Sus scrofa: one gene and its partners. The protein of the gene in region 3 interacts with the protein of the main gene of each other region in a pairwise test. Links are inferred from orthologs where the notes say so. Each region holds a gene or a part of one and is shown on either strand. Other genes may lie near its edges.

Region 1 (3,653 bases), on a different chromosome or scaffold from region 3:
CGTCACCTAACGTGCTCCACCGATTTAACACAACCTGACCCATCTCAAGGGAAGTCTCTGCCATACCCTATATAAGTAACTGCAAAGTCTGCCCAGTTCCCCCTCCTTTCAAAAAAAGAAAAAACAGACATCTTACAATTACAATTTTTTAAAATCCCATCAAACACTCACTCTTTCAACATTTCTTCATAACATGTTCTGAAAGAAAACACAACATTATTTTAGTAAAGCAAAAAGTACCTACACTATTTTCAAATGTTTTGAGGAAAAAAACCAGTTACCTTACCTATGTAAAAGATGTCCACATGGCAAGACGTGAGCAACAATACGGGATGTATGAATGTCCTGTAAAAGGAAATAAATGCTAGTGCTTACTTACACGAAGACAATATAAATAATCAGTACTTTCAATCCAAGACAGAATGTTCCAAAGCTAAAAACATTTTAAACTCACCTCCAAACATATTGGACAATTCTGCCGGGAAACATTTTCAATACACTGTTTAAAAGCAAAACTAAAATTACCAAAAGCTTAATAGTATTAATTATAAAAAAACTAACAAATGAAACAATACCAGCTTACTAAAGGTAATAAGTAACATTAATACACGTTTCCTGTATGTCAGACAAGAACTGAACAGTTAACTCTCACAACTATTTCAGGCTGTGTACATTACCTGAGACAATGAAATTGCTTAATGTGTCTTAATTATTCAAATTCTCTTCATTTTACAAATAACAAAATAACAGTTCACATTACAGAAATTTTAACACATGTCATATGCCAGGTTCATTACCTGTATTAACCCAATTAATCCCCACAACTCTAAATGAAACAGGTACAATTATTACTCCATTTTATAGATGAGGTATTTGAGGCCTAGAAACGCTAAATAACCTTCCAAAATTACATACTAGCAAGAGATGGAAATATATTTGAGCTCCAACAGGAGACCTCCAGGGCCTGAGATCTTAACTTGACAAGATAGTGTCATCTGTGAAGAGGTAAGAGAAGGCACCAAGCCACAGATGATGCCCAGGTTTTTTTAAGTAAGCACTTGAGTAGTTGACAGGACCATTTACAAACACAGACAATACAAAATAACTAAGAAACAAAACTACAAGAGAAAATAGGTATATAATTTTTCTAAAGACAACAGAGCACATCTTGCCATCACCCCAAACTAAAGCCAGTAAAACTAACCTTAATTTTTTATCTCCTACAAATTCACAATCTATTAATCAAGTACTTTAAGCCAGGGTTAAAATCCTTGGGAGTCTTTATTCAGCCTCATTCTTTCTCCCTTACACCTTGTCAGCATATCCCATATGTTTATTATTCACCTCAATTTCTCTTACCACTCTAGTATTTTAGGCCAGTTATTACCTACTATATAGTATTCAAAACCCCTCATCAGTCTCTTCAGTCTCTAAATTCTTGGACAGAATCAGCACTGTAAATGAGTTATTAGATTTTTTTCTAAGTAATGAAAAATAATGTTTAAAAGGCCTAGAATCATGATATAATTGCTGCATCCAAATTAAAAAATATTTCAGATTATGAAAGAAATACTAAATTTTCTAGGAATGCTAACAAAAGGTTACACTTTATATCATACATTATAAAGCTATTCTTAAAACCAGTACCAATAATAAGAATCCATGAGCCAATTTAGAACTTGTCTACATTATACTAATAAAAATGTAAGTACTCTTATATAGAGAAAAGGAATTATAGATTAGATGTTCTGACACGTAAGCTTTAGAACATCTACTTCTTAGTATTGCTTAAAAATAAAAAGCGACATGAACGACTTGGTAATATCTGAAAATCAGCATGTTCCTAAACAAATTAGGATTTAAGGTATTTTCAAAAACACTGTAATAGTTTTTAAATCATGAGAACTGAATTATATACCTTGTGCTTTCCTTGGAGATTCATTGCTAGGCATAAGTTACATTTCAAACAGTGGAAAAAATCTTCCTTTGGACCAATCCTAAAAAAAAAAAAAATATGAAAAACAAAAGTTCAGATTCATTCTTACTATAGTAATCATTTGTTCATTATATATAAGCTTAATTTCACTATAAAGTTCAAACCACACTGAAGATGAAGTAATAAATCCCTACCTCCTCAACCTCACTCCCCAAATGTAAACACTCTAAGGAGAATGATTATCTACCCTTCCATGTCTTTTTCTCTACAAATATACACATAGACACAATTTGGGTTTTATTTTTTACATAGATGGATTCTATATATATTGCTTGGCAACTTTTTTTTCAGTTAACAGTACTTCCTCAAGAGTATTCTATGTGTGAATATATAGAACCACTTCATTCCTCTTCATAGTTACACAGGATTACATGATAGGAACATACTGTAAATTTTAATACTTTTATTGACATGATTTACTATCTTTAGTTAATACAATGACATAATAAATACCTATATATAGACATCACAACCTACATGGTGATTTTTTATAAGATTCCTAAAAGTGAAACTATGGGGTAAGAGGGCATTGCATCAGCAGTTCTGATACCGCCAAACTGACTTGCAAAGATGGTACCAATTTATACTCCCACGAACAGTGTGTGATGGTACCTCTGTTCCCCACACTCCTGCCAACACTGGTTACTTACATGACAAATGAAAAATGGCACTTTAATTTGCATTTCTCAAATGATGAGACAGGAAGCGTATTTTCATGTTTATGAACCATTTGGATTTCTCCTGTGGATTGTCTGTTCATGTGCTCGGTTCATTTTTCCACTTGGGTATTTGCCTTTAATCAGCTTTTTTTTTTTAACTGAAGTTGATAGTTGATTTACAATATTATATTAGTTTCAAGTGTATGGCATAGTGATTCAATATTTTTATAGATTATACTCCATTTAAAGTTACTAGAAAATAATGTCTATATTTCCCTATGCTGTACAATATATCCTTGCTGCTTACCTATTATATGTATCAGTTTGTATCTCTTAATCCTTTACTCCTATATCTTGTCCCTTCCCCAACCCCCCACTGGTATCCACTACTTTGTTTTGTATATCTCTGAATCTGTTCCTGTTTTGTTACAAACATTCATTTGTTTTATTTCTTAGATTCCACACATAAGTGATAATATACAGCATCTGTCTTTCTCTGACTTCTTCACTAAGCATAATACTATTCGGGTCTACCCACAGCATTGCAAATGGCAGAATTTGATTCTTCTCTATGGTTGGATAATATTCCATTGTGTTTATGTGTATGCCTGTGTTTGTGTCTGTGTGTGTGTTGTGTACATACTATATCTTCCTTATCCATTCATCTATTGGTCGACACTTAAGAGTGCTTCCATATCTAGGCTACTGTTATGAACTAGGATGCATGTACTTTTTCTAATCAGTATTTTCAATTCTTTCAGATTATGTTCCCAAGAGTGGAATTGCGTATGGTATCATATGGCAGTTCTACTTTTAGTTTTTTGAGGAAACGAATTTAAAAGAGCTCTGTACGTATTCTGAATATTAATCTTTTTCACCTGTATATGTTATAATTACTTTTCTGGTACGCCATTGTTTTTTTTTTTTTTGGTCTTTTTGCCTTTTCTAGGTCCGCTCCCGCGGCACATGGAGGTTTCCAGGCTAGGGGTCGAATCGGA
Region 2 (3,503 bases), on a different chromosome or scaffold from region 3:
AGGAAGAGCCTTGTAACCGCCCTTCAGAGGAGCCAGCGACCTCACCCCATCACCCTGGTCCCCCTCACGGAAGGTGGGAGGTGTCTCTGAATAATGCATGCTGGCTCGCAGAGCTGACTCCTGTGTCTTGTTCCCGTAGGGTGACTCTGGAGGCCCCCTGACCTGTGAGAAGGATGATGCCTACTACGTGTATGGGATAGTGAGCTGGGGCCTGGAGTGTGGGAAGAAGCCAGGGGTGTACACCCAAGTGACCACATTCCTGAATTGGATCAGAGCCACCATGGAAAGGGAGGCCAGCTTCTAGGGGGTCTTCCGAAGCTCACGGCCCCTCCTCGATAATACTCAGATCAGGTGAGGCCTCGTGGGCAGTGGCGGGCACCCCGTGGAGCCTCTGGGTGACTACGTTCTAAGCAGAGACCACTGGTGGCCAGCAGGGGACCAGCATGTCCGCCACTTCCTCAGGCTCCCGCTGGGAAAGCTAGACATGAATCAACCTGAAATATAGGATGTTTGCTTCCCTTTGCACACCTGTACCTTCTAGAAAATCAGTGTTCACAGACTGCCTTCACCTTGGACATGTGCAAATGCGAGACTTCCGAGGCTCAGCGTTGGTGGCGGCCACCTTTCCATCTTTATTCCTCATCCCAGACACTCAGCACGCATGCAACAGAGCCGGCATCCAACTTGTGGGTATTCGACAGGGACCAAAACACACTTCTCCACCCGCTTTCCGAAATGTTATTTTAATAAAGGGGGCTGGGGGGGAAGGGCCGCTGAGCCCTTTTCACAGTTGCCCCAACTGAAGTCATGCCTCTGGCGTGCAAATTTCCTCTCCAGCTTCACTCCCAAGAATCCTGGGTGGATGCTGCCCACTCACAATGGCAAGGCCCTCCTCCTTTTGACGTGCAGAATCTCGGTGGCATCTGGGTTCACGTCCCCCCTCTGATTATCACCAGTCTCCACAGCCTCCGGCCCCCCCTGCAGAAACCAAACACACCCTCCTGAGTTAAGACGAAGCTCCGGCCCTGCTCCTACAGGACAAGCTGTCTCCGATGGATGTTCACCTGTTCACCTTCCCCTTCCTTTTGCCCTCCTCCACCCTCCCCAAGAAAAAGGCTCCTCAAGGCAAGAAAGAGAAAGAAGACAAGCCCATCTCTCGTTTAGACGTGGTGTCTTTCTTCTGAACAAAGTACGGTTCAAAACCCAGACTGCTGTAGCCAGCAAGTCCCTGACCCCTTCCGCGAATGTAACGAGCAGGCGGTCAGCACAGCCTGGGCTGCCTCGGCCCGGATTGATGTCACCCCAGCATGTCTGTCTCCGAAGAACTAATGGCTGCGACTTCAGAAAAACCCTGCAGGAAGTTTAACCCGGGTGTCATCCGCCTGGTCATCTCAGGCCCAGGAAATTAGGCGCCTTGCCTGAGCTGCCTTTCACACATCTTTAGAGCCAGCTGACCTTTGGCCAAAAATAAAGTTTGAAAAGAAACAATGAGTTTGCCTTCCCCCAAGGCCTTGCCAGCTGGGGTGGGTTTGCACCCGCTACTCACGTAAGCCCCCCGGAGACCCCTGGCGTTGGCCAGTTCTGCAGCCCGCCGAGCCATCTCCACTTTGTAGGAGCCAGGAGGTGTCCAGCCAATACCTCGGGTCAGGTTCAAATCTGATTTGTACTTGACCTTGGGGGATGGAGGGAAGCAAGAGGAATAGGTCAGCAGGGTTTGGGGTGGTTTAGATACAGAGTGGAGAGGCTTAAAAGGGCACCCTGGAGAACGGGCTGTAGTCAGTGAAGCCAGGATAAGGGGGGGCCAACTCTTGTTGGCAGGAGTTCCCTTGGCACTGAGGATCCAGTGTGCTGTAAGCTGGGCCAGCCTGTTGCCGTCTCCTGTATCTTTCCACCTACATGGTGAGGGCTGTAGTGGGGGTGGCAGATCAGAGATCTGGTTCAAGGCTGAGCCCCTACTTGGACTTGCTCTGTGGCCTTAGAGAAGTCGCTTCTCTACTCTGGGCTTCAGCTGCCTCCCAGAGGAAGTGGGTGGGCTGGGCTGGGCTGGGCCACTACTCAGATCCCTTGGGAACAGTGTGGCACAGTGACCAAGAACTTGGGCTCTGACATCAAACCAAAGGGGGCTCAGATCCCAGGCTTGCCACTTATTTGCCATGTGGTCTGGAGTAAGTTATTCACTTCCCTAAGCCTCAGGCTCCCCATCTGTCAAGTGGGGGCAGTAATGGGATGGCTGTGAGAGCTACAGGGCATAGAGCTCAGAAAGCACGTGGCACAAGAAGGACTCAAGACACTGAGGTTCTTGTCATGTCTTCTGATGCTATCACCTTAGGTCTCCTGGGCTCTCTCTCAGCCTTGGGGACGGGGGACCAGGGCCATCTCTTGTGAAGAAGCACAGAGGTGAGGCCTGGGCAGGGGTCGGGGGGAGGCTCACATCGCTCTGCAGCTGGTGGGCCTTCCGTGCGTGCTTCAGGCCCAGCTGCTCTGGGTCGCAAGTGGGCTGGGGCAGAGGCTGCCGGTAGCTCACATCGCTGGCCAGCTGCTGGCTCCTCTTGGCCTGGAGGAAGCCAGGCTGGTCCGGGCCGCTGTGGAACTGGGACCGACTCTTGGCGAAGTCCTTCTTGTACTCGTTGTCGCTCTGCAGTTTGCCGACGCTGAGGAAGTGCTTCATCCTGGGGTCATCGTCGACACTTCGGTACCCAACCTGCAGGCCTCGATCCCGCAGGAAAGCCTCTTTGTACCGGAACTGTAGGTCAGAGGAACAGACAGGGGTCACGGGTGCGCCCCACCCCTCCAGGGTCAGCCCTCAGGATGCTTAGCAGGAAGTGCAACAGTGGGTGAAGAGCACAGCTTCAGAGTCAAGTTGACCCGAGATCTGTATCTCCCTCTGTTGCCTTCTAGCTGTGTGGCCTTGGGTCAGTTATTGAGACTCTGAGCCTTGGCTGCCCCACTTGACAAAGTGGGAGAATGAACTTCTACTCCACAGGATATTGAGAGGATGCACTGAGATGGGGGCTGAGCTTCATGCCTGGCTCAGGCTCGAGCCCACTGAGTGGGGGCTGCTGGGATCATTGCTGCTGTAATAATTAATGATCCAACCGCAAGAGAAGTGCAACTATTTCTTCAGCAGCCCCTCAGTCTTTGATTCTTTCTAGCTTTCAGGGACCCAGTCTAGCGCTCCTCAAACCATCTATAGTGAAGGATGGGATTTATTTTGTTTTGCTTTTCTAAGTTTCCAATCCGTCAAAGTCCAATCCATGGGCCTCCTGCCCATGATTAGCATGAAGTAGCGTGAGGTGCATTTGATAACATTCAAACTGGCCCCCACTCTGCTCAGCCAGAGGAATCCACTGGTCACACGCTTGGATGTCATCATGTCCAAATGCTAAAAATGGTTCTCAGTGCTTGATCTTGACTTCTGTACTTCTCTCACTTTGGACCAGTAACGAGCCGTTCAGGAATGAGCATATATCTAGTGAATCATGGCTTCCTCTTTGAGAATGACG
Region 3 (3,753 bases):
AGTAGTTTTTCAAACAAAAGAGACTAAAATTGCTGATTAATAAGGAATAACCTCAAATGTCACATCATGGTGTTTGCATATGACTCGTTAATCTTTTCAAATGTTAGGTGTTACGTGTAAAGAGAAATGAGTCATTTATTGTTTTAACAAGGGAGCAGCTGTTAGTTTTTTTCTACTGTGTTAAAACCTTTAGTGGCATCTATATATGGAAACGAGTCAATGAGCTCTTCTCTCAGCTGTTGGTTTAGCAGCTGACAGTACCATTGACTTCACCGTGATGTAAAATAAGAGAAAAAACCTTTACTCTTGGATGGAGACCTTGAAGTTTAAAAATACATAATTCCCTGATTGGGAGTGGAATTCATTTGACAAATATTTATGGAGCACCCAAGAAGCCCTGTGGCTGTAGTGCTGAACAAAACAAAGGTCCCCCAAATCCCTGTCTTTATAGAGCTTATATTCTTTTGAGCATGTTTAACCTTTGAAACTACAGTGTTTCTACAGCCCCACTGCGTTATGACAGTATAATTTTGTGATAAAATAATTCATGAAGATGTATTGATTTTTTTCAAATAATGCCTTCTGCATCCCTTGGTTGATATGGTGTCCTATTCCAGTCAACAAATTACAGCTCTAGTTCTATATATATATTTTTTATTCATGTGTAAGTCCTCCTGTTTTTCAAGTTATATCGGTGAGGTAGCACTTTGTTCTGATTTTGCTATGTTCTGTTGATAGCATTGTTCTCATGGGGTTATATCTGTTCCGTTTTACTTTTTATTTAATTAAAGATCAACACTTAAAACCACAGTGATCATATTTTATGTGTGTATACCTTCAGTATAAAGGAACTTTTGTCAAATCATTAAGATTAGCCACAGGAGCTAATTTTTCTTTTTTCTTTCCCTAGTGTTAGCTTTTAACCTTTTTTTTTTTTTTTTTCTGGTCTTGATTCCTTTTAACTTTTGCCTTTAATTTGCTTGTTTTATTCTTATTATTATTTGCCACATCAAGTACTTTGTAGAGCAGGGCCAGGTGTGAACAAATTAGATAATTTTACAATTTAACTCAATACTAATTATAGTTTTTCCGCCTGAGAATAAAGATAATTTAGAATGTCTTAGAAAATTAGCAGTTTCCCTGCATTTATTTCAATCATGATGGGGAGTATTATTCTAAAGTTTAAAAAAAAAAACTGTAATTAGAGTAACTAAGTAGAAGTTTTATGTTTCCTACATCTAAAAGAAAATTACATATCCCACTGTTTTAGGTAGAAAATAAAAATTTGTGTGTAACAGTTATTGGAAAGTTATGAGTATCCAAATGAACTCACCTCATATTCTTGACCTTTGCATCATTAATTCAGATAGCCAAGTAGTTTGCCACTAGACCATTTTTAGCGGACTGACTCATTTTTATGATTCAGTTTTCTGTTAGTTCAATAAGCATTTTCTTGTGGTAGCCTTTAATAGCATACCTCCTAATACCTTATGTATTTTAAAGCTTTCCACCTCATTTAAATCTCTTGTTTCTTAGCTGTTTCCTTAGTGATTAAAAGTTCCAGTTGTGCCTTTCAATCTGTAACAGCTGCAAGAACAACTCTTCTTTCCAAACCAGCTCTCTCTCCTAAATTCCCGTTGTTAGAGTTGGTATCTATATTTAGCTGGTGGGATTAAATTGCAAAGGCTTCAAGCTGGGCAAAGCACACTGATCTGCCTTTTTACTGCTAGACCTGTGTGCTGTGAGGAGCTAAGGCCTTAGTGTCCCCTTCCTTACCCAGGTTACTCACAAAATGGATTCCCAGCGGGAACTCGCAGAGGAACTGCGGCTTTATCAATCCACCCTGCTTCAGGATGGTCTAAAAGATCTCCTGGATGAGAAAAAATTCATCGATTGCACCCTAAAAGCAGGTGACAAAAGTCTTCCTTGCCACAGATTGATTTTGTCAGCGTGTAGTCCTTACTTTCGTGAGTATTTTTTATCTGAAATTGATGAGGCGAAAAAGAAGGAGGTAGTTCTAGATAATGTGGATCCTGCTGTACTGGATTTAATCATTAAATACCTATACTCTGCCACTATTGATCTCAACGATGGAAATGTGCAAGATATCTTTGCCTTGGCCAGCCGCTTTCAGATCCCCTCGGTGTTCACCGTCTGTGTTTCTTATCTTCAGAAAAGACTTGCTCCTGGTAACTGTCTAGCTATCCTAAGATTAGGACTTCTTCTCGACTGCCCAAGACTTGCCATCTCCGCTCGTGAATTTGTGTCTGATCGCTTTGTACAGATTTGTAAGGAAGAGGACTTTATGCAGTTGTCTCCACAGGAGCTGATCTCAGTCATTTCCAATGACAGCCTAAATGTAGAAAAGGAAGAAGCAGTCTTTGAGGCAGTGATGAAATGGGTGCGAACAGACAAAGAAAACAGGGTTAAAAACCTTAGCGAAGTGTTTGATTGTATCCGTTTTCGCCTCATGACAGAAAAATATTTTAAAGATCATGTTGAGAAAGATGACATAATTAAAAGCAACCCAGAACTCCAGAAAAAAATCAAAGTTCTCAAAGATGCCTTCGCAGGCAAACTCCCAGAACCCAGCAAAAACACAGAGAAGGCTGGGGCTGGTGAGGTGAATGGTGATGTTGGTGATGAAGATTTACTTCCTGGTTACCTGAATGACATTCCCAGGCATGGAATGTTTGTCAAAGACCTCATCCTCTTGGTTAATGACACAGCTGCGGTGGCTTACGATCCCACGGAAAATGAATGCTACCTTACTGCCCTGGCTGAGCAGATCCCTAGAAATCATTCCAGCATCGTCACCCAACAAAATCAGGTATATGTGGTCGGAGGACTATATGTGGATGAAGAAAATAAAGATCAGCCTCTACAGTCATACTTCTTCCAGGTAAGAAAGGCTGTTTTCATGTAAGTAGAGACATGAGGAAAGACTGTTGCTCACCATCCAGTTAGTTGACTTGTGAATTACTCAGACTGCTTGGATTTTTATTCTATTTGACATCCTATCCCAGTCCCTTGCACTTTCCCTACTTAGAGGGCTGGAAAATATGTAGTCAGTTACTGCATGTTAATGTTTAATAAACGTTTAGGTAAAGAATGAGGTTCTAATTAATGTATAAGTGATGGCTCCCGATTTTCTTTGCAGTCTTTTACCCAAAATGTCATGTTTGTAGTTGATTGTGACTGTAATCCTTTAAAACCCAGTCTTTTAGTAAAAACAACATTTAATCATGTATCCTCTTTCTGAAAAATAGGTTACTGCATTTCCCCAACTCAAAGTACTTGACATATTACAGAAAGTTATAATTGATCTGATTTTCTATCTTTTGCCAAGTTTCCTTGAACTGATTTGAAGTTCTTGGAGGTAGCATTTCATCTCTTATACATGGTGATTGCCTAAAATATAATTCTGTTGAAAGTGAAAAGGACTTATATACATATTTTACACACTTTGGATTACCTTCTAGGAAATACAAGTGTCATTGATTTGAATTAATTAATCATATTTAGAAATTTTTATTTATGATAAATATGCAAATTTATTTAGATCAGAGTTATACTTGGACACTACTGCAACTTAGTCTGTTTTATGAGGCCATAGAAAGTTTCCAAAAAAATAAATCCTCCTCAACTAACAGATTCTTTGTTGTTTGTTTCAAAGGAGTACGTTTCATATCATCAGCGTATTATACTTTACCAGTTTATGAAGGAATCAGTGGCTTAACCTTCGTCTTTAAT

What was found.
Region 1: the proteins of KLHL41 (region 3) and RCHY1 interact in binary tests that used the Homo sapiens proteins (3 or more experiments, as listed by UniProt). The two-hybrid records come from large-scale screens. The link is inferred for Sus scrofa from reciprocal best matches to the Homo sapiens genes KLHL41 and RCHY1.
Region 2: the proteins of KLHL41 (region 3) and NRAP interact in binary tests that used the Homo sapiens proteins (3 or more experiments, as listed by UniProt). The link is inferred for Sus scrofa from reciprocal best matches to the Homo sapiens genes KLHL41 and NRAP.

What each region holds. Positions count from the first base shown.
Region 1 is NC_010450.4:71,168,429-71,172,081, forward strand, and holds part of RCHY1 (RING finger and CHY zinc finger domain-containing protein 1), read right to left. Parts: intron 1,998-3,653; coding exon 1,919-1,997; intron 500-1,918; coding exon 455-499; intron 346-454; coding exon 287-345; intron 199-286; coding exon 172-198; intron 1-171. UniProt on the Homo sapiens protein: E3 ubiquitin-protein ligase that mediates ubiquitination of target proteins, including p53/TP53, TP73, HDAC1 and CDKN1B. Mediates ubiquitination and degradation of p53/TP53; preferentially acts on tetrameric p53/TP53.
Region 2 is NC_010456.5:123,927,955-123,931,457, forward strand, and holds the end of NRAP (nebulin-related-anchoring protein), read right to left. Parts: intron 2,744-3,503; coding exon 2,432-2,743; intron 1,673-2,431; coding exon 1,547-1,672; intron 1,492-1,546; exon of another isoform or gene 979-1,491; coding exon 874-978; 3' UTR 608-873; downstream 1-607. Other genes in the region: HABP2 (hyaluronan-binding protein 2), read left to right, coding at 140-304. UniProt on the Homo sapiens protein: May be involved in anchoring the terminal actin filaments in the myofibril to the membrane and in transmitting tension from the myofibrils to the extracellular matrix.
Region 3 is NC_010457.5:75,874,143-75,877,895, forward strand, and holds the start of KLHL41 (kelch-like protein 41), read left to right. Parts: upstream 1-1,551; 5' UTR 1,552-1,792; coding exon 1,793-2,902; intron 2,903-3,753. UniProt on the Homo sapiens protein: Involved in skeletal muscle development and differentiation. Regulates proliferation and differentiation of myoblasts and plays a role in myofibril assembly by promoting lateral fusion of adjacent thin fibrils into mature, wide myofibrils.